Stegostoma tigrinum: one gene and its partners. The protein of the gene in region 2 interacts with the protein of the main gene of each other region in a biochemical or structural test. Links are inferred from orthologs where the notes say so. Each region holds a gene or a part of one and is shown on either strand. Other genes may lie near its edges.

The links. The genes of interacting proteins can lie anywhere in the genome.
Region 1: the proteins of ubiquitin-conjugating enzyme E2 E1 (region 2) and prkn form a complex in vitro, tested with the Homo sapiens proteins (2 studies listed by BioGRID). The link is inferred for Stegostoma tigrinum from reciprocal best matches to the Homo sapiens genes UBE2E1 and PRKN.
Region 3: the proteins of ubiquitin-conjugating enzyme E2 E1 (region 2) and rnf4 form a complex in vitro, tested with the Homo sapiens proteins (2 studies listed by BioGRID, with this or other methods). The link is inferred for Stegostoma tigrinum from reciprocal best matches to the Homo sapiens genes UBE2E1 and RNF4.

What each region holds. Positions count from the first base shown.
Region 1 is NC_081362.1:24,013,689-24,020,641, forward strand, and holds the start of prkn (E3 ubiquitin-protein ligase parkin), read left to right. Parts: upstream 1-4,078; 5' UTR 4,079-4,137; coding exon of another isoform or gene 4,138-4,144; intron 4,145-4,366; exon of another isoform or gene 4,367-4,438; intron 4,439-6,953. Other genes in the region: parkin coregulated gene protein homolog, read right to left, coding at 3,884-4,078. UniProt on the Homo sapiens protein: Functions within a multiprotein E3 ubiquitin ligase complex, catalyzing the covalent attachment of ubiquitin moieties onto substrate proteins. Substrates include SYT11 and VDAC1.
Region 2 is NC_081355.1:64,890,210-64,898,188, reverse strand, and holds the start of ubiquitin-conjugating enzyme E2 E1, read left to right. Parts: upstream 1-4,969; 5' UTR 4,970-5,588; coding exon 5,589-5,818; intron 5,819-6,372; coding exon 6,373-6,423; intron 6,424-7,979. UniProt on the Homo sapiens protein: Accepts ubiquitin from the E1 complex and catalyzes its covalent attachment to other proteins. Catalyzes the covalent attachment of ISG15 to other proteins. Mediates the selective degradation of short-lived and abnormal proteins.
Region 3 is NC_081356.1:130,785,202-130,793,213, forward strand, and holds the start of rnf4 (RING finger protein 4), read right to left. Parts: upstream 3,008-8,012; 5' UTR 2,832-3,007; exon of another isoform or gene 2,754-2,831; intron 1-2,753. UniProt on the Homo sapiens protein: E3 ubiquitin-protein ligase which binds polysumoylated chains covalently attached to proteins and mediates 'Lys-6'-, 'Lys-11'-, 'Lys-48'- and 'Lys-63'-linked polyubiquitination of those substrates and their subsequent targeting to the proteasome for degradation.

The DNA.
Region 1 (6,953 bases), on a different chromosome or scaffold from region 2:
GGTGTCTGCTCTCCAAAGTTGCAAACAAGCAGTTGCTTGCAGTTTGCTGAAGTTTTCTGGTTTTGTCTCAATAACAGACATGTCTTCCCTCTAAATTCAAATAATGCTTCCTGTTCAACCCTTACATACATGTTTCCTTACTGACAACAAAATGTGAGGCTGGATGAACACAGCAGGCCAAGCAGCATCTCAGGAGCACAAAAGCTGACGTTTCGGGCCTAGACCCTTCATTCCTTACTGACTAAAGCTTTTTCTCCTAGAATTTGCTAGTGCTGTCAGTTCATCTGATTATAACACATTGCCTAGGATAATTGGCACACATCACAAAAAGCAGAAAACTGGTTGTGGGGATATTTCAACAGACTGATAAAAGACCATGTTACATAAGTCAAATCTGGGCAGAGACAGGCATCCGGGGGAGGTGTGAAACATCTCTAAAGAAGAGTAGGGAAAGACTAGTAAAATGGAGGTCACCAGCACTGGATTTGTTATACATGATGACAGCTAACCAATGGCTCGAAAAAAGGAAAGAATGGTGTGCTTTGATTAATAGTCAATGGTTATATTACGAGAACCAAAAGGTCCTGTTTGCTTCAACTACATTTTGTCTCAACTGGTTTCAAACCTTCAGGAATCTCTGCATAACAACAAAAGGCAGAGACAGGTTCAAGTCCCATCTGCTCCAAGGTGAATTGCATTTCTCAGTCTCCATCTCAGGCAACCAGCTTGTAACTGATGTCCATTTCAAGCCCACCGACTCCCACAGCTACCTAGAATACAACTCCTCCCACCCACCCTCCTGCAAAAATTCCATCCCCTATTCCCAATTCCTCCGCCTCCGCCGCATCTGCTCCCACGATAAGACATTCCACTCCCGCACATCCCAGATGTCCAAGTTCTTTAAGGACCGCAACTTTCCCCCCACAGTGATCGAGAACGCCCTTGACCGCGTCTCCCGTATTTCGCGCAACACATCCCTCACACCCCGCCCCCGCCACAACCGCCCTAAGAGGATCCCCCTCGTTCTCACACACCACCCTACCAACCTCGGGATACAACGCATCATCCTCCGACACTTCCGCCATTTACAATCCGACCCCACCACCCAAGACATTTTTCCATCCCCTCCCCTGTCTGCTTTCCGGAGAGACCACTCTCTCCGTGACTCCCTTGTTCGCTCCACACTGCCCTCCAACCCCACCACACCCGGCACCTTCCCCTGCAACCGCAGGAAATGCTACACTTGTCCCCACATCTCCTCCCTCACCCCTACCCCAGGCCCCAAGATGACATTCCACATTAAGCAGAGGTTCACCTGCACATCTGCCAATGTGGTATACTGCATCCATTGTACCCGGTGCGGCTTCCTCTACACTGGGGAAACCAAGCGGAGGCTTGGAGACCGCTTTGCAGAACACCTCCGCTCAGTTCGCAACAAACAACTGCACCTCCCAGTCGCAAACCGTTTCCACTCCCCCTCCCATTCTCTAGATGACATGTCCATCATGGGCCTCCTGCACTGCCACAATGATGCCACCCGAAGGTTGCAGGAACAGCAACTCATATTCCGCCTGGGAACCCTGCAGCCATATGGTATCAATGTGGACTTCACCAGTTTCAAAATCTTCCCTTCCCCTACTGCATCCCTAAACCAGCCTAGTTCGTCCCCTCCCCCCACTGCACCACACAACCAGCCCAGCTCTTCCTCCCCACCCACTGCATCCCAAAACCAGTCCAACCTGTCTCTGCTTCCCTAACCGGTTCTTCCTCTCACCCATCCCTTCCTCCCACACCAAGCCGCACCCCCAGCTACCTACTAACCTCATCCCACCTCCTTGACCTGTCCGCCTTCCCTGGACTGACCTATCCCCTCCCTACCTCCCCACCTATCTTCTTTACTCTCCATCTTCGGTCCGCCTCCCCCTCTCTCCCTATTTATTCCAGCTCCCTCTCCCCATCCCCCTCTCTGATGAAGGGTCTAGGCCCGAAACGTCAGCTTTTGTGCTCCTGAGATGCTGCTTGGCCTGCTGTGTTCATCCAGCCTCACATTTTATTATCTTGCATTTCTGAATAGTTTGATTAGAAAGCGTCTGAAAGATAACAGCTCCAAAACACCATCTCATCTAGCAATTATTGACAACACCCAGGTGTGACTTGGGCATTGCTGGACTGTTTGGTCAATGCACAATCATGGAGGAGCTGTAACTTACTCCGGTTAAACACTAGGAAAAGTTCATCTCCAGCCACAAGCTCATTCTTGCAATATGAGAATCCTATTTGATAGTGATTGATTTATCCTCTGGCGCTGGCCACTCTTGTCGGATGGTAGTGTGTTTTTACTGCTTAATATCATCTGTTTCTTGAAGATATCAAGACTTGACACTTTATTTTAAAAAACACCAGAGTATTTTCTTAGTAACTGTCACACGTTCCCTCTCCTGACATTCCCTCGTCGGGGTATATTACATTTCAGACAGCAGTCATCATATGGTATCTTGCAAATGGTGAATGTCGAGAGGGTACTTTAACAAGGTGCCCCTTGTTGGAACAGAACACGACGAATTTTGCCCTTCTTGGCCTGGGGGTGCTGAAATCAATTGCAGCATGAAAGAAAGAGTCAAAAGATCATTGACCTGAAAGAAACGTTGCCTGACGTGCAGTATTTTAAGCGGCTTGTTTTTATTTCAGATTTCTGGTAAACACAGTATTTTGGATACCTGTACCTTGAAAATCTCTGACCGACCTGACGTGGATTAATTCAAAAAAGATCAGCGCCAGAACCTTTTTACCTTTCCAACATGATTCAACGACTTGCTAAGTAAGGCTGCTAAAGAATCAGAGTATTGAGTATTTTAATAAATGCCTTTAACGGCAGCAGTTATGTCAGAAAAATCAATCCTTTTGTTGCTAAATTGTTCCAATCTCCGAGAATTACATTTGTGAAACTTTTCAGAACATACAGTTTGAAATTTTGCTCTTATTTTGCCTTGCTTATTGACCACAGACAAGTTCGGTGGGGGCATTGCATTACTTTAAAAGGTGTTACAAAATGTAGAAGAATAAATTTGTCTTTGGATGCATTGAGCTCGTACAAATTCATAGCTGAGAATAATGAGCTGCTACTAAGAAAATTTTCGTTTAAAACATCACACATACTAAAAGAGGGAGGTTGAAATAGCATGCAGTCTGCTTTTAAGCATGTGATCCAATGAATATTTAGCTACTTACAATGGAATTTTTCATCATGGCTTTCACTGTGAAACCTTCAGTTACTCTATGATCCTTCTTAGGTCTTTGATACATAGTCGCCAGAAGTTTCTGGTTGCCCTTTTCCAGTCCGTAGGCAGCTGGCATTTTATTTGTTGTGAAGGCAGAGTAGCAGTAAGACACCTCCTACTGAACAAATTCCACCGCTGTTATATTGTTCTTGCAACGTTTCGAACAAAATCTTGGTTCACCAACAGCTGGTGGTTTTCCGGGCACCCCGTTGCTAAGAGAGATACATTAAACAAACGCCGTCATTTCCGTCACGCCGAAGGGTTCCCGTTAATTCAGTTGACATATCACGTGACTGGAACGGGCTTATTTTTGAATCATGATGCCCCGACTGCACGTTGAGTGTACCCTCAGTAAAATTGACCTAAAACATTAAAGCGAACACTTTTTTAAAAGACGTTTTGTTTCCTCCTTCCTGATATGAGGGTTACTCTGTTTCAAACTTCACGCTCACAATCGCCGTCTCTCGGGCTCTTTTCTCGGCGACTCAATCCCTCAGGGCACCAACCCTCCCACTTCCTTGGTTTTCACAACCCTTAATGATCTCCGTGGACCTCCTTCCTTTATTTATTCTTTAATAATGATGTATATGGTACTACTTGCTCACCATCTTGTAAATCCTTTTATTTCCAAATTCACGTGTTCGACCCTTTACCCTCGCGCGCCGCCTCTTCCTCTGCCCTCGAACGCACTCCACCACGTTAGTAAACAATCCTGGAACTCCCTGACAAGGAAGAAAGCTGCACGCAAGCGCAGTACAACTTGGCCTACAGATTTTAACTGGAATATCTACAGGCGACATGATGTAAAATTCAGCTTCGCCCAAAGTGTCCCCTTTGTAGAGCTGAAGTGATCAAAGAAATGATCGGTAGGTGATGGCTTGACATAAAGTTATTGCCAGGTCGTGTTCAGTCGTATTTGCAGACGTCATGTACGCACGTCCGGTTAGCATAATAATCCATCATTTTTGACTATAGCAAACGAAAATTTGAAACAAATATTGACTTGAAGTGATAAATCAAAGGTAAATTAGATATAATCATTTCATTCACCATACAGTATACAGTAGTGGTGTAAACAAAATCACTGTCTCCCCGGCGGGGAATTGAACCCCGGTCTCCCGCGTGACAGGCGGGGATACTAACCACTATACTACCGAGGATCTGATGTTTTGTTATTTGGCTTTCAGACTAGAAAAAAGATAGCCGTAGAATAATTAAACGATCAATTAAATCTGAAAGATAGTAAAACTAACTAAATCTAAACTGTTCAATGGTTTAATTAATTTTGTGTATAACTTTATGTATGATAATGTACATTTTACAATGTTTAATGCAAACCAACCCTGACATGACTTACTTAAAAATCTGTGGAGCCATTCCAATTGGCCTGATACTTTGCTGTTTGAGAAAATATGGACCGATTCTGTAAAACATATCTAGTTCCTTGTCATCAATTTCTATTTCAATATACACTTGGTACGATGCAACTGGAGGTTGAAATTTGTTGACAATGAAAGACTTGAGGAAATTTCACTGTACGTGAAACGTCAACTCTGATTTCTCTTCGTATTTAATGCCAGAACCACTGAGCTTTTCCTAGCCATTTCTGTTTTAGTTTCTAAATTACAAAGATGGTCCACAAGGACTGTGACAGTTCTCCCCTTCTCCCTGTACAACCAAGCCAAAGCTGTGGCAAAGATTGCTATGTTGATGACCTCTGAAGTTTGAAATTCAACCAGCGAAATACATTCGGAAAATCCTCTTTGTATTCATTGAAATGCTGTCCTCCATGCATAAAGATTTGCTGCATTTTCCATGGGAATGGAACACGAGGCAAACAAACTAATTGGTGAAACAAGATCAAAGACAAAAACAGAAATTGCTGGGGGAAAAAAATAATCAGGTCTTGCAGCATCTGTTGAGAGAAAACAGAATTAATACTTTGGATCCAGTGACCCTTCTGAGTTTTTCCAGCATTTTTTGTTTTAGAACATAGAACATAGAACATAGAACAGTACAGCACAGAACAGGCCCTTCAGCCCACAATGTTGTGCCGACCATTGATCCTCATGTATGCGCCCTCAAATTTCTGTGACCATATACATGTCCAGCAGTCTCTTAAATGACCCCAATGACCTTGCTTCCACAACTGCTGCTGGCAACGCATTCCATGCTCTCACAACTCTCTGCGTAAAGAACCTGCCTCTGACATCCCCTCTATACTTTTCACCAACCAGCTTAAAACTATGACCCCTCGTGCTAGCCATTTCTGCCCTGGGAAATAGTCTCTGGCTATCAACTCTATCTATGCCTCTCATTATCTTTTCTGATTTCCAGTTTCTTTGGACTTTTCACTTGGTGAAACAAGATGCTGTAGTTAGAAATTTCAGCCCTGTGTCAAAATGGATAATTTGCAGTGCTGTTGCAACATGGACAAGGCATTCTGTAACTAATCCCCATAATCAGATGTGATTATGAAATGAATCCAGAATGATTTACTCCATAATAACAAAGTGTGGAGCTGGATGAACACAGCAGGCCAAGCAGCATCTTCGGAACACAAAAGCTGACGTTTCGGGCCTAGACCCTTCATCAGAAAAGGGGGAAGGGGAGAGAGTTCTGAAATAAATAGGGAGTGGGGGAGGCGGATCGAAGATGGATAGAGAAGATAGGTGGAGAGGAGACAGACAAGTTAAAGCGCAGGAATGGAGTCAGTAGAGGTGAGTGTAGGTGGGGAGGGGATTGGTCAGTCTGGGGAGGACGGCCAGGTCAAGGGGGTGGGATTAGGTTGGTAGGTAGGAAATGAGGGTGGGGCTTGAAGTGGGAGGAGGAGATAGGTGAGAGGAAGAAGGGGTTAGGGAGGCAGGGACGAGCTGGGCTGGTTTTAGGATGCAGTGGGGGGAGGGGAGATTTTGAAGCTTGTGAAATCCCCATTGATACCATTGGGCTGCAGGGTTCCCAAGTTGAATATGAGTTACTGTTCCTGCAATCTTCGGGTGGCATCATTGTGGCACTGAAGGAGGCCCAGGATGGACATGTCATCTAAGGAATGGAAGGGGGAGTTGAAATGGTTCACGACTGGGAGATGCAGTTGTTTATTGCGAACCGAGCCTAGGTGTTCTCCAAAGCTGTCCCCAAGCCTCTGCTTGGTTTTCCCAATGTAGAAGAGGCCACAACGGGTACAGCAGATGCAGTATACCACTTTGGCAGATGTGCAGGTGAACATCTGCTTCTTGAGGAAAGTCTTCTTGGGGCCTGGGATGGGAGCGAGGTAGGAGGTATGGGAGCAGGTGTAGCACTTTCTGTGGTTGCAGGGCAAAGTGCCGGGTGTGATGGGGTTGGAGGGGAGTGTGGAGCGGACAAGGGAGTCACAGAGAGCGTGATCCCTCCGGAAAGCAGACAAGGGTGGGGAGGGTAAGATGTCTTTGGTGGTGGGGTCGGATTGCAGATGGCGGAAGTGTCGGAGGATGATGCGTTGGATCTGGAGGTTGGTGCGGTGGTACATGAGGACGAGGGGGATTCTCTTTTGGTGGTTATTGCGGGGACGGGGTGCGAGGGATGAGTTGCGGGAAATGCGGGAGACACAGTCAAGGGTGTTCTCGACCACTGCGGGGGGAAAGTTGCAGTTTTTGACAGCTGAGATGTAAGGGAGTGGAATGCCTCATTTTCAGAGCA
Region 2 (7,979 bases):
CACAAAATTTAGGCTGACATTTCAGTGCAGCGTGAAGCAAGTGCTGCATTGACTGTGTAGAGACTTATGCATGGTGAGTTTGGCCATGTTCATATTTCTCTCTGATCAGTTGATAATACTCCCGCCTCCGAACTAGAAGGTCACGTGTTCCAGCTTCATTAAAGTGGCTGGATTTTTTTTGGTTAACCAATCTGAGTTAAAAATCACCAATTGTCCTACAATTAATTGTTGTTTGTAGAAGACAGAGTTAAGCGATCCTACAGTCAATGGGTCAGATCTAAATTCTGCACTCCAACCATCCATGTACAAACAGTTGCAATTAAGCTACTAATAGGGGGTTGATAGTCCAAAATATTTCTTCTCATCAATGGGAAGTCCAGCACATCAGTGCAAATAATAAGGCTGAACCACTGCATCCATCTTTGGCCAAAAATGTTGAGTGGATAATCCGTCTGGACCTCTTCCTGAGATTCCCAGCATCATAGGAGCCAATCTTAACAGGTTGTTTCACTCCACGGATATGCAAAAAGCTACCGGGCCTGACAACACTCCAGCAACAGTAATGAAGATGTGTTCCAGAATTTCCGATGACCCCAGCCATGTTGTTCTGGTACTGCACAACATTAGTATCTATGTGAAAGTGTGGTACATTCCCTAGGTATGTGTTCACAAAGAGCAGGACAAATCCAACCAAGCAAAGTTCCACTCAATCTGCCTACCCTTCATCAGCAAAATGATGGAAGGGATTGTCAACCATCTTATCAACCCACATTTTCAAAGGAATAACTGGCTCATTCTTAGTCTTTTTCTGCTGCACCAAGGCCACTAAGTTCCATACTGCATTACAAACTTGGACCAAACATGGACAAAACAAGCTGAATTCCAGAGGTAACTTTCCTTCATATCTAGGCAGTATTTAGCACAAAGCTGAAAGAACTGCTGGAAATCAGAAACAAACAGAAATTGTCAGAAAAACTCAAGTCTGGCAACTTCTGTGGAGAGAATCATAGTTAACCACTCAGGTTCAGTGACCGTTCACCAGCCCTGAAGAAAGATCACTGGACCTGAAATATTAACTCTGATTTCTAGCATTTAGCAGAGTGCAGCATTAAGTAACGCCCATAATTACAAAGTCAATGAGAATCGGGGAGGAACTCGCTGCTGGTTGGAGTTAGATGTAACTTTTAAAAAAATGATAATGGCTTTGAGGTCAATCATCTCTGCCACAAGACTTCTCTGCAACCATTCCTCGAGGTAGTATGCTGGTCCCAACCATCAGAAGTGTTTTTATTTGAAGCTTGTGCAGTGTCCAGCACTGCAACATTCCAGATAGTGAAGCAGTCCATGTTCATCTGCAGCAAGTCCTGGGCAACGTCTAGGCTTGAATGTCTAAATGGTAAGTAATATTCATGCCACACAAGTACCAGGCAATGTTTGTTTCCAGTAAGAGAGTATATAATCATTGCTTATGCCATTGGATGTCAAGTGGCATTGATATTTTATTTTTAACAATTCTTTCATGCAATGTGGGTATTGTTGTATGAGACAGCATTTATTGCTCATTACTAAATACCCTTGAATTGAGTGGCTTGCCAAACCACTTTGCAAAACATTTAATGGTTCACTATATTTTTGTGGGTCTGGACTCATGTGTTAGCCAGACAAAGTAAGGCTGGCAGATCTTCTCTCATTAGGAACATCAGGGATCAAACTGAGGCTTACAATAATCAACAATGATTTAATGGTTGTTGTTGTACCAGCTTATTTATTGTTATCAAATGTAAATTTTCACCATTTGACATATTGGGATTTTAAGGCATATCCCTCAAACATATGTTTGGGATTCTGAATTGTTGGTCCAGTGACATGACCAGTATGTCACGATGTCCCTTGAATTCCCCACTATCAACATCCTGTGGGTTACCATTGACTAGAAACCGAACTAGGCTTGCAATTTACTTACAGTGGCTACAAGAGTAGTTCAGAGGTCAGGGATTCTATACAAAGTAACTCACCTGCCATCTCCCCCACTCCCTGTCTGCTATCTACAGGCACAAGTCAGGAATGTGATAGAGTACCCTCCATTTGTCTGGATGCACAGCTCCAAAAACACTCACTAAGCTTGACACTATTATGCAAAGAATACAGGGATATGGACCAATGGCAGGCAAAGGGATTAGTTTAAATTGGTGTCATGTTCTGCAGAACATCATGGGCTGAAGGGCCTGTTCCTGTGCTGTAAAGCTCTATGTTCTATCCAAGATACAGCAGGTGACTTCACTGGCACCCTAACCACAATCTTTAATATTAAATCCCTTCACCACCAACACACAGTAACAGCAATGTATACCATCTAGATGATGCAATATGATAACTCACCAAGACTCTGCCGAAAACACCTTTCAAACCTATGACCTCTACTACCTAGAAACACTACAGCAACAGGTACTCAGGATTAATACACATGCAATTTCCAAGTTACACACCATCCTGACTTGCATGGTATTATCATTCCATCACTGTTGCTGTATCAAAATGCTGGAGTTAAGTTTCCAAAAGCACTGTGATCATCCCTACACCCAAGTTACAGTGGTTCAAGAAGGCAACTCACCACCACCTTCTCTAAGGCAATCAGGTATGGCCAATGGTCTAGCTAGCAACACCCACCTTTCATGAACAAACAAAAATCTCTCAAATTTCAACCAATCTTTCTTAACTTTACTGAGGTTGTTGACTTGCTCGCTGAACTGGCTTGTTCTTGTTCAGTCATTTTTCACCAAACTAGGTGACATCATCAGTGGACCCTCCAATGAAGTGGTGTTATTCTACTCCACTTGAAATTTATACTGTTTGTTCCATTACGGTGAGCAGTGTCATTTCTGGTTTTGGTCTGTATGGGTTTACTTACCATAATGGACCAAACAGTATAAATTAAGTGGAGTAGAATAACACTGCTTCATTGGAACCTCCACTGATGATGTCACCTTATATGGTGATGAAATGTCTGAATAAGAATAAGCTAGCTCGACAAACAAGTCAACAACCTCCTCCACAGCCGGAGTTATGGATCTTTGCCAAAACTTTAATCTTAACTTTACTATTGAAAGACATAGCTCTAATGTTCATGCTATGTCCCCTACACCTAAGCATCCTAAATAACTGCAGTATTTTCTATCTATCTTATCAGCTCTCCTTCATATCTCTCAAAATTGGCAGTCTTCATTTCCTACATTATAAATAACTTGGTTTGAGAAAGTGTTTTGTTTAAGTCACCCTGTAATCTTCTTATTCCCAAGAAACAAAATTATGATATGTGCAATATAATACTTGGAGTTTAGACATAATTCTGTCAATTCCATGCTGTCATACCTCCAGGACCAATGTATCATTTCCTAAGGTGTTCCCTACAACTGAAATTAGTTCTCCAGGTGTGTGGTATAACTCAGACTCTGTACACCTGCATGGTAATTTTTAACCGTTGTACTCTTCTAGTCCTCTAGACACAACGGCCCATATTCCATGTTATGTTCTTACCTATGATATTTTAAAACCTATATACATTGACCTGCAAGTCTCCCTGAACTGTCACAGTTCCTAGCTTTTCATCACTTAGAAAGTACTTTGATTTATTCTGTTTAGATTTAAATTGAGTGAGTTTGTATTTCCCTACACTGAAATCCATTTGTCACAGTTTTGGATATTCCCTTGATATTCAGTATCTCTTCATAGTTCTGTACTTCCATTTATGTGGCTTCCGGTTTGACACCTTTTAGCTACCAGCAAACTTGGATATATAGCTGTCCATGCCATCAAAGTATTGTAATTAATAAAATATAGCTAATAGTTAAGCCCCAACAGAGATCTGTAAGACATCAGTCGTCATATCCATCAATTAAAAGGTACCTGTCTATTTTCCCTGTTCGGTAATATAATAACAAAGTCAATAATATTGCTTTCAATTACACAAACCTGAATTTTTGATAAGTCTCTAATGAGAGGCTTTATGAACTTCCAAAAGACACTTGATATAAATTACATTCATAGACATTCCTCAGACTAGCATTTCAAACACGCTTTAAAAAAAATTCAGGTTTGTCAGAAATAACCTGCCCTTCACAACCCAAGTTGGCCCATTCTGATTCGCTGAAAGTTTAAGGTGCTCAGTTACTCTCTACTTTTAATATAGACTTTAAAAGTTTCACAAATTGGTTCACATGCTTGGGTTTCCTTTCTTAAATAACCAAGTGGTCTGGAGTTTTCCCAATCTACATGAATTGTTCAGTTGCGAGAATGAGAGGGGAACAGAGTTTGGGCATTAAGGATTCTCTCCTTCCTGCAAAACCATGGGATGAAAGTCACTTAGTCTGGAGCATTTGGCATTGTTTTTAGGTTTATTACATTTATCAGTACTATAATTTTGCTTATGTCAATTTCGAAGAAGAGAATGAGTATTCCCTCTAGTATCCTAATGAATGTTGTCCCTTCACCAACATATTGCAAACAAATTATCTGGTTAATATTGCCCTGCAGTTTGTAAATTGGCAACCGCCATTTCATACGTTATAAACTACTTCGATTGATCGAGTGGTTTGGGTGTCTTTGAGATCCTGAAAGACCACATCAAGAGTTTTTAGACAAGAAAGGAAAAAAAAACTAAACTTCCTTGGAATATCAAACATGTCTGAAAACGTCTTCACTTCATTCAACAAATTATCCGTGTTGTCTTTTAAAAACATTTAAGTGTTTAAATACAAAGTTCATGAGCAATAGAATAAAAATGTCAGTGAAACCTAATGAACCAAGTCAATTAATCCGAAAATAGACAAACAATGTGCCTAGAAGTGTGTGAGTACAACTTTCTATGTAGTTACCAGACCTTGTAACAATCCCAAAGAAGCCCTGTCTCCTCCCTGCATTTGTGGTTGGTCTACTTCCGTTCCTTTCCCTGTCCGAGTGAGACACGCGTCTGACATTGTACCAGCCCTGGCAACCGGCAGGTCGGCGACAATCGCTGTCCAGATTACCAGAGAAGCAAAAGTGTAAAAAGAATCCAACAAAGAGGGAAAATAAAGTAAAAGGAGGACAGAAACACACAGCGAAAAGTATAACAAATACAAAAGTCAACATCTGACAGCAGGTTCATTCTTCAAGTCCATATGGTGCAACACTTGTTTTTTTCCACAGATTGTACAAAGTGTGGCATCCTGTCTGTTTTGTTATTGTTGTGAGGATAGTCCCCTCAATCACTCCAGAGCTGGAGCAGCTCCAGCTGATAGTGCGCAGCCGATGACGGGATATTGCTCGGTGAGTGAGTGTCAGTCAGTGCGTTGTTGCTGTGAGTGTTACACTACATCAGATACACTGTGACTCACTCTTACTGACATTGTATCCTCACCTCTCTCTATACTCTTATCTCTTCAGGTGTCCGCTTTCCTTTTTAATTATGTTAAGTTCTATGTCTTGATTCTCCATCTTTTCCGTTGTTGTCGGTGTGTTGTGTGTTTGTTTGGGAGGTGGGAGGGGAGCAGAGAGTGAGACACTGTCGTGCTTCAACGCAGTCAGTGTGTGACAGCGAGCCAGCGGTGGAGATGTCGGATGACGACTCGAGGGCCAGCACCAGCTCCTCCTCGTCTTCAAGTTCTTCACAAGCAGCTGAGAAAGAGACGAGAAACAACAACGACAGCATCACCGGCGGCGGCAGCAGCGATAACAACGGCGGCGGCGGGGGTGGTAGCGGCGGAGGGAGCAAGAGGAAAAGAGAAGCGAAGAACAACACCATGAGCAAGAACCCCAAACTGCTCACCACCAGCGCCAAGAGGTGAGTGCGGATGGCGGGGGGGTGGGCACGAGCTCCGGCCGTTGGTCTGGGGTGGGGGGGGGGGGGGGGGGGGAGAGATCATGGGGCTCCTGCTTTGCTTCTCTTCCCCTTCCCCCTTCCCCCCACCCTCCGGGGTTTCCTCCTTTCTCTCACCCGCGACACGCCAGACTTCTTTAACACCAGAGGCTCATTTGCATATTAGCTAAGATCATTTTGTACAAAAAAACAGGGCCGAGTTCTGACTCCATTGCCCCGGGTTTGCATTTCTGACGCCAACTACTTTCCACTGGGCCGGCTTGTGCGGACTCTGCTCGCCGGAGGAGTGCGGCAATCGAGTTGGAAATTTTTCACTGTATTAGCTTCTTGGAGCTGTGAGAGGCGGCCATGTTTTTCCCCCCCTCTCGCTTTCTCGTACAGGCTGAGGGTCAACGTCTTTGCTTTATTTTATTTCCCTAACTTTTTGAAGTCGTGAAATTTCGGAGAATGTGTTGGGAATGTGGCATTCTTAGTTATGCCGTGAGTTTTTAAAATGGTCAATGTTTTATGTTTGACAGAATCCAGAAGGAGCTGGCTGACATCACGTTGGATCCACCACCGAACTGCAGGTTAGTTATTTCTCATAAAATAAATGGTCTGCTTTAATATCTGCGTTAAAAGGGCGATGATAACTGGGCGTGCGATTTTTGTTTTATTTTAAAAATCTGGTTAATGAGTTAAAAGAGTAGTGATTGTTGTATTGAAACAGAAATTGGGATTCAGGCCAATTTTCTATTTGCAGAATCAAATAGAAGTTAAACGTCAGTACTTTAAACTGAAGTTTCTCTAATAAGTTTCAGTTTGGAAGCTTGAAAATTTCCTCCACGTTGAGGGGATTCCCATCAGTACTAAACTTCCTGGAAGATTCTTGTCCATCTGCATTTGGGCTGTTTCACAATTGTGATTTTTTGGGGGGGGGGAGGTACTGGGGTTACTGAAGTGTTCTGGTTGTGTATGTAATAGACGTGCTCATTTTTGATAAGTAAATGTTATGTCCTTCACAGACACCGCAAATGCGAGTAATTTGACTTTAAATGATTTTAATCAGTGCTGATAAGATGGTGACAAGTTCCTATCCAGTGGACAATTTTAAGCCTCACCTTTTCTTTTCAAAACAAAACTCCTTAAATTTTTTTTAACTGCTTTTGCAAGACCAGAATAAGGTCTGCCTACAATTAATTAGTGTACAAAATGTGAGATAGTGATTGGGATGTTGTCACATTTTAGGACAAAATGAGATTTGCAGTTATGATGTCTTCTGGGTTGTAGTTCGTTCTTGTTTTCTTAATGAGAACAAAAATGGCACTCAGTACCTATGTTGTGAAAAACATTTAAAAGTCATTTCCACTTAGTTGGATCACTTCCTGTTCGAGAAACTCTTTCACTTCGCTTATAACTTGAGCATTTATTTAAAACACCACCCTTCTTGGATATTAGTCATTGATTCGTTTGTATATTTGCCCAAGATAGAGCCTACAGTTATGTTGCACATGAAAATTCTTGTGTTTTATGAAGGAGACAATTGGAACAACTCCATGAACTTCGAGTCCAGAAATAAGTTTTCGGGTATTAATTAGATTTCAGAAATGATATTGGCATGTGATGTACTCTGCGCTGTTGGTATTCCATCACAAATTGTGTATGTTTTCTCTCTAATGAGATAGTAAATGGATAAGTGAGTTTAAAACCTGTAACTTAATCAATCCATGTGATAGCATAAGCTGTGAATAAATGGGTGACAGAATCTCAAAATTACTGAAATACTGCACAAAGCTTGAGTTATAACTAAGAAATTTTGAATAATGTTTGAAATGCACTGGAGTGAATGAATGTACAACATAGGCATACTAGCTTTGGCCATAATAGTGTTTTTAGATACAACTCTGAGGTAAACCTGCTTTCGGTATGTATGTGCTCTGGCATCGCAGGCATTGATGTCTGGTTTTGCGGATAGGTGCGCTTGGTTTTGATTTCTCCCATTTAAAACAAACTACTCGGTAATGATATAGGGGTTGGGCAGAAATATGGAAGGTTGAGTTAACCTAACCCTGACATGGAGGGGAAAATGGTTTCCTTAGATGTGTTGAGAGAGTTTGCTGCATTGATAACCTATTGCTGCGATAGC
Region 3 (8,012 bases), on a different chromosome or scaffold from region 2:
ACTCTAAAGTAACGCAACCGCTTTCTATTCCTCTGTTGTACACAAGATTCTTACCTAGGTATCTGTACCTAAGATGGTGCCATAACCTTCTACTGCATCCCAAAACCAGCCCAGCTCGTCCCCGCCTAACCTGTGCTTCCTCTCACCTATCCCCTCCTCCCACCTCAAGCCGCACCCCCATTTCCTGCCTACTAACCTCTTCCCACCCCCTTGACCTGTCCGTCCGCCCCGGACTGACCTATTCCCTCCCCACCACTTTCGATCCACCTCCCCCTCTCTCCCTAATTATTTCAGGACCCTCTCCCCATCCCCCTTCTCTGATGAAGGGTCTGGGCCTGAAACGTCAGCTTTTGTGCTCCTAAGATGCTGCTTGGCCTGCTGTGTTCATTCAGCTCCCCACTTTGTTATCTAGGTGCCATAAGAGACAGACATTCTGAAAGCTTTTCACTGTACTTCTACATTGCAATACACATGACAATAAAGGATATTCTAATTCTAATTCACAAACCACAGTGAAGACAAACAACAGCACTTTTGCCTCGATTATTCTTCAGACTGGAGCCCCCTAAAGATGTGTTATCAGTTTGCTGATAAGACTACCGCAACAGGCTGGACATCAAACAACGATGAGTCAGAATACAGGAAGGAAGAGAGTGGTGCAATAATAACACCCTCCCTCTCAATATCAGCAAAACAAAAGAACAAGTTATTGACTTCAGGGACAAAGGAGGAGGATACGCCTCTATCTACATCAACAGAGCTGAGGTGGAGGAGGTTGAGAGCATCATGTTCCTAAGAGTCACAATATCATGGATCTCCCCAGCAGATGTAATGGTCAAGCAGGCACAATGCTTCTTCCCCCTTGAGCGACTTAGGAATTTGGCATGTCCCTAAGGACCCTCGCCACCTTTTACAGATGCACCATAGAAAGCATTCTATCCAGGTGCACAACAGCCTGTGAGAGCAAATGCTCTGCCCAGAATCTCACAAAACTACACAAAGTTATGCGCACAGCCCAGACCATCACAGAAACCAACCTCCCATCTACGCACTCCATTTCCACTTCTCATTCCATGCCAACAAAGATCCCTGCCATCCCAACAATGCTCTCTTCCAACCCTGTCAGACAGAAAATTCAGAAGATTGAACATATGCATCAACTGGTTCAAGAACAGCTTCTCCTTACTATTATTGGGCTGATGAATCTCTAACTTCAAATAATGTTGATCTTACTTTGTGCACTTTCTGTGCAGTTGTAACCTTGTATACCTCACTCTAAGCGCCCAATGATCCGTACGTCCTTGTTTGCTATGATCTGCCTCGAATGATTGCAAAAAAAAGTTTTTCCATTGTAAGAGTTACTGGGGGTCAAAATGTTAACACTTTTCTTCCGACAGATGCTACCAGACCTGCTGTGTTTTACTAAGTGACTTCAGTTTTGTTTCACATCTGCAGTTATTTGTCTTAGTTCATTTTCATTTTCAAGGAAAGTATCAGTCATCTACTTACGCAATCTACATGGCTATCCTTCTATCAGAGGCCACCTAAAGACCAGACACTCTTCACAAAAATTATAAAGACATTGTTCTCCTTTAACTACCATTCTCATGAATGCCCTGTCAAGTGTAAGCTGATAAACTTGGACAAACTTAGACATTTTTCAACAAGACTGAAGTAGTTGTTATATAATTCAAACACTTGTACAATTAAGATCCTGCTGATTTTAAAATACTAAGCAAAGCAGGAACTCTTTGGAGATCCTAAAACAAGAGAACAATGAGATTGCAAGGTGAAAGAGGGTCAGGATATGACATGAAAAGGTTACAGCAATGGTCACAAAATGGAGACACACAGATACACAAACAATGAAACAAAAGTCCTTAGCTGATTTATATCCATCAAGTTACTAAAATTGTAGGTAATACTACCAGTATAGAAACAATAATTCTTCCAGCACTGTTTTATTTTCCAAATAAATCATGATTTTTTTCAGTTTTAGTTCAATTTACATACATTATCATTGAGTGCTGACTCTGTGCACTCCTGTTCATTGCTACAATGTAGATGCAGCTTAAACATCAAACATGAACAAGTAGTGTGAAGTGGCATGGGAACAGACCAGAGGTATTTGAATACAACCATACAATAAAGACCAAATATCCCAAACTTGACCTCACTCTGGATAGAAAAAAAGATAAGCACTCATGCAAGGGCACAGTCTCAGAATACCATGGTGCCAATTAAAAACTAAGAGGAGGAAGAATTTCGCCTGTCGGAGATTCGAAAGTCTTTGGAACTCCTTGTCACAGACAGTTGTGGGGCCACAGTTCTTGTGCACAATAAAGTTTCAGACAAATTCATGATCTGTCGGGAAATCAAGGGTAATGGGGAAAAGACAGAAAGTGGACACGAGGAATGTCATATCAGCCATGATAATACTAAAATGGTGGAACAAGCCGGAATAACAGGACGGCCTACTCCTGTCCCCACTTCTTATGGTCTTACGTTTCACAGTGACCACAATGAATCTCCTCAAAACTGATATTCAGATACAAAGCGATAGTAGGAACATTGCTCGTTAGGAAAACATGAAACATAGAATAGAGACGTCACCGGCAAGTGCTTAAACTGTAGTTGCTGAGGCCTAAGAAAATAACCAAATCAGAAAAAGCCTTCACTGGAGTGGCAGCTAAAAAAAACATGCAAAACACACACACACAACAAAGCGGAAGACAACAACTCAAGGTGAGTACCTCTCGGAGACATAACCTCACACATGAAAACAAATGAAGAGCCAGTCACCATGCAGATGAAAGGAATAATCCAGTCACCATTAAAGACCTTCAATCGCTGTGAATAGCAGATACCGGCGGAAGGAAAAGCCACATCCCACGTGACCTCACCACGGCCCGCCTTCATAATGGGGGGGGGGTGGGGGGTGCAAATCCCGTTGTCGATTGGTCAATGGTCACGGAGACCGTCATCGCATCTCCACGGCAGCGACCCAATGATTCGACAGCCTGTTCCCCGGCCCCGTTCATCTTGGGCGGGGTCTCCGCGCGAGGTCAAAGGGAGGTCACACGCCGTAGCAGCGGATTACGGAGCAAAAACGGAAGTTACTGGAAAAGCTCAGCAGGTCTGGTTGTGGGGGAAGAAAACCAGTGTTAACGTTTCGGGACCGCTGACCCTTCCTCAGAACTTGTGATGACGGTTTTGTTAACGAACCTGTGATAATGGGGACTGCAGATGGTGGGGAATCCAAGATAATAAAGTGTGAAGCTGGATGAACACAGCAGGCCAAGCAGCATCTCAGGAGCACAAAAGCTGACGTTTCGGGCCTAGACCCTTCATCAGAGGCGAGTGATGAAGGGTCTAGGCCCGAAACGTCAGTTTTTGTGCTCCTGAGATGCTGCTGGGCCTGCTGTGTTCATCCAGCCTCACATTTTGTGAATGAACCTATCCCGAATGACCTATATGGAAAGACTACAACTCCCAGAGGGCGGTGCGCCATGCGCGTTCTGACCGTTAAACGGCGGCACTTTGAAATTTTCCATCTTTCTCTGCCAGGATGGGAGAGGTTTTTTTTAATATGCTGTGTATATATACGTTACGTTTCTATATTCGTTGTATGTTATGTATATAAAGATGAATCAATCATGTGATCGACGGTAAGTTAGAATCCATGGAGGTAAATTGTGCGCCCGCCCGTTTTCCGTAGGCGAGAATGAACGGATGGTGTTTGAACCGAGAGACTCTTCAGAGTCGCAACAATGCAACCGGTGTTTGAAAACCCCTTCCTCTCCGCCTTGTCTGTCTGTCGTGGGGCGGGGGGATGCTGGTGAGACATGGGAGCGCATGAACCAACTGACACTGTCAATCATCACCGTTGACCACCTCAGTGCTCCGCCCGACAGCCAATCAGCGCCAGGTGGGCGTGGCTTCTGGCGCGATGACCTGCATTTTTTTTGAACCACCACAGCCCATTCAATGTTGTAGATGTATCTTAGTGCTGTTCAGGATGGGGGAAGTTTGAGGATTTTGATCCAGTGGCACTTAAGGAATAGCAATATATTTCCAAGTAGGCATGATGTGTGGTTTGGAATCGTTCCCATGTATCTGTTGCCTCTTGTTTTTCTAAATATGTATTTCCAAGCTGGGCCAGAAGAGCAGAAATAAACCGTTCAGCCTGCTCCAGCTTTCATTGAGATCATGGCTGATCTGATGATCCTCCACTCCACTTGCTGACTTTCCCCGACAATGCCTGATTCCCATACTGATTTAAAATTCCGTCTATCTCCAAAAGGCTCTGATCTTGAATATACTTAATGATTCAGCCTGAACAGAACTCTGCTGAATTCCACAGATCACTACCCTCTTGAGAAGAGAAATTCCTCATTTATTCTGACGAAGGGTCACCGGACCCAAAACATTAACTGGGACTTTTTTTCTTCACAGATGCTGCCAGACCTGCTGAGCTTTTACGGCGACTTCTGTTTTTGTTCCTCATCATTTCTGTTTCAAATGTGCCATCTATAATTCTGAGGTTATGGTCAGAAGTCACACAACACCAGATTAGAGTCCAACACGTTTATGTGAAATCACAAGCTTTCAGAGTGTGGCCCCTTTGATGAAGTGAGAGAGAAGCACGTAGAATTTATGGGCAGAGGAAGATCAAGGGCAGAGAGATCAAAAGATCATACAAATAGTGTGAGTGGAACGTCAAATAATCAGTTGCTATAGAAGATCTGAAGTGTTAGATGGTGTGAATAAAGTGTCAACAGCTGAATAACAAGTGAGGGGATGGCCTAAAATCCGATTAAATGAGGCAGAGAGATAATTACAAAAAATTTGGAAAAAAAAGTGCTGGAGACAAACCAAATGATTGGAATACCATGATAAGTATTAAAGTTGTAAGTTGAGGGTCCAACTAAAATCATAAGCAATCCAAAACTGTACAAAATAATTAAGGTAGAGAGATCACAACAATTTATTCAAGTGATGGTGATAAAACAGAATAGTAAGGAAGATTTTTGGTCAAGAAAGCACAACAACACCTGCCCATTTACCTTCTCCCTTCCCAATATCCAGTCCACCTCCCCACAGCTCTATGGCACCTTCCCCTGTAAACAGTGATGGTGCAACACTTGTCCATTTACCTCTTCCCTCCTCAGTAACCAAGAGCCCAAACATACCTTTCAGGTGAAGCAACACTTCACCTGCGCTTCCAAGATTCTAGTCTACTGCATTTGCCGCTCACAATGTGGTTTCCTCTACATTGGGGAAATGATGCATAGACTTGGCAATTGCTTCACAGAACATCTACGTTCTGCTTGCAAAAAAGACCCTGAACTACCTGTTGCCTGCCACTTCAATGCACCACCCTGCTCCCTGGAAAACATCTCTGTCTCTGGCTTGCTGCAGTGTTCCAGTGAAGCCCAACGCAAGCTGGAGGAACAACACTTCATTTTCCACTTGGGGAACCTACCGCCCTCCGGACTCAATATTGAGTTCAATAATTTTAGGCCCTAAACTCTCCCGTGTCCCAGTTCCCCCACCCCACACACCTTGTTACTACCTAGCCTGCCATTACACACCCCCTGTTGTTAGTCACTAACTGTCCCCATTAACATCTATTCACCCTCCCAGCCTAATCGTTAGTAACTCCTTTGTCTGTCCAACTGTCTTTCTTTCTCTCTGGGCTCTATCTTATCGTTTACTCCCTACCCCACCCACCTCCCTATTTTCTGCATATCAACTGATGTTTTCCCAGCCACCATCAGTTCTGAGGAAGGGTCACCAGACCCAAAACATTAACTCTGTTTTCTCCTCCACAGATGCTGCCAGTCCTGCTGAGCTTTTCCAGCAACTTTTTTTTCGTTCCTCCATACCTGCTATCAGCCGACTAAACCTTCTCTAGAATGGCTCCAAATGTCAGTATATTTTATCTTAAATAAGGACACCTGTATTGTTCACTGTTTTCAGTTATGGTCTGACTATGGGCATAAATCGTAGGCAGGTAGATAGGATGTAAACAGGTTAGGTTCAGGGCAAATATTTTGCAAATGGAATAGGGTATAAAGAAAATATGAGGTTATGCACTTTGGCATAATGAATAGAGGATCTGAATATTATTTAAATTGAGAAAGACTGCAGAAGGCTACAGCACACATGAATTTAGGAGTTCTCGTGTGAATCACTAAAAGTTGGCATCCAGGTTCAGTGGGTAACAGGGAAGGCAAATGGAACACTATTTCAAAGGGAATGGAGTATAAAAGAGGGAGGTTTTCCTGAAACTATAAAAGCTACAAGGAATCTCTTCTCCCAGAGGGTACTATGGAATTCTTTACTATAGCGGACTGTCAAGACTGTATTGTTAAGAACATACAAGGCTAAGATAGACATACTGTTTTAAATCGTAAGGGAATCGAGGATTAAACGGAAAAGGCAGGAAAGTGAAGATGAGGATTACCAAATTAACCATGATCTCATTTGAATGGTGGAGTAGACTAGATGAGCTAAATGGCCTAAATTAGGTGAAAACAAATATTGGCTTCTTTTTAATTAAACACCAATTAAACACATATTTTTGATCAGTCTTCACAGAAGAGGTCACAAATAACATTCTAAAAATGTTGGGCAACGCAGGATCCAGTAAAGAGAAAGAATTGAAAGAAATCAGTATCAGCAGGGAAATGGTGTTGAAGGAATTGATATGACTAAATGCTGATAAATCTCCAGAAGCTGATAATCTTCATCCCAAAGTATTAAGTGGTCTAAGAAAGTGGATGCATATTTCACAATTCCATAGAACTGTTCCTGGAACAGATCCTGTGAATTGGAAGGTAACTAATGTAACCCCACTATTTAATGTTCCATATTAACTCTGCTCCTACGTCTTATGGACACCAGGCCCATGAAAGAATACATTAATAAAAGCGCATAATTCACCAATTGGGCTCAAACTAATGTTTTATTCAGGTTCAACATTACCCGAAGCTCTGAAATTTAACAAAGTACCTGTGGTCTATTTTGAGATGCTCAATTACAATGAAGGAACTACTTGAATACAAGTTGTTGTCTGTCAGGAGCTACCAGTTCAATGGGCCAGTATCACTGAATAGATTAGCAACGATTTTACAATTATATCAGGAAACACTTCTTTACACAAAGGATAAAGGAAATATAGAATTACACTAATCCTCCTATACTGGACCAACTTCCAAGTGATAAAGGATGTTGAGGAGGTTAGGGTCATAAAATTGAAACTAAATTTGCTAATTATGAAAGAAAACTAGTGCAAAATATGAAAGAAAGGACATCAATGTCATCTTTAAGAACATAAAAAGACAGTAAAAGTGAATTTTGGTTCCTTCATGGATAAGACTAGGGAGTTAATAATGAGGAAAACACAAAGGGCAGAGACATTCAGTCAATCTTTTACCTCCGTTGTTATGGTAGCAAACACTGAAACCATCCCAACTGTAACAGTTAAGGCAGAGGTTTTCAAAAAAGAGGATCTTAGAACAATCACAATCACTAAGGAAAAAGTACTGAGCAAACTATTGGGATTAAAGGTAAGCAAATCCCGAGGGCCTAACGGTTTACATGCTAGGATTTTAAAAGAAGTAGCAGCATAGATAATGGATGCATTGGTTATAATATTTCAAATTCCTGGATTCTGTGGATTGGTAATTTGTAAAGCAGTTATTCAAAAAGACAATGAGGCAGAAAATTGGAAATTAAAGACAATTAGTGTACCATTTGTGATTGAGAAAAAGTTGGAATCCATTTTTGAGAAAGTAGTAATGGGACATTTAGAATGTAAAAATGCAATACACCAGAGTCAACATGGCTTTATGAAGGGTACATCATGTTTGACCAACATTCTACGGTTCTTCAAAGATGTATCAAGCGATATAGATAATGCAAGTTCTTGTAGATGTATATGTAGACTTTAACAAGGCATTGGTGGTGAGGTGCCACACAGAAGGTTAACACACAAATTAAGATCA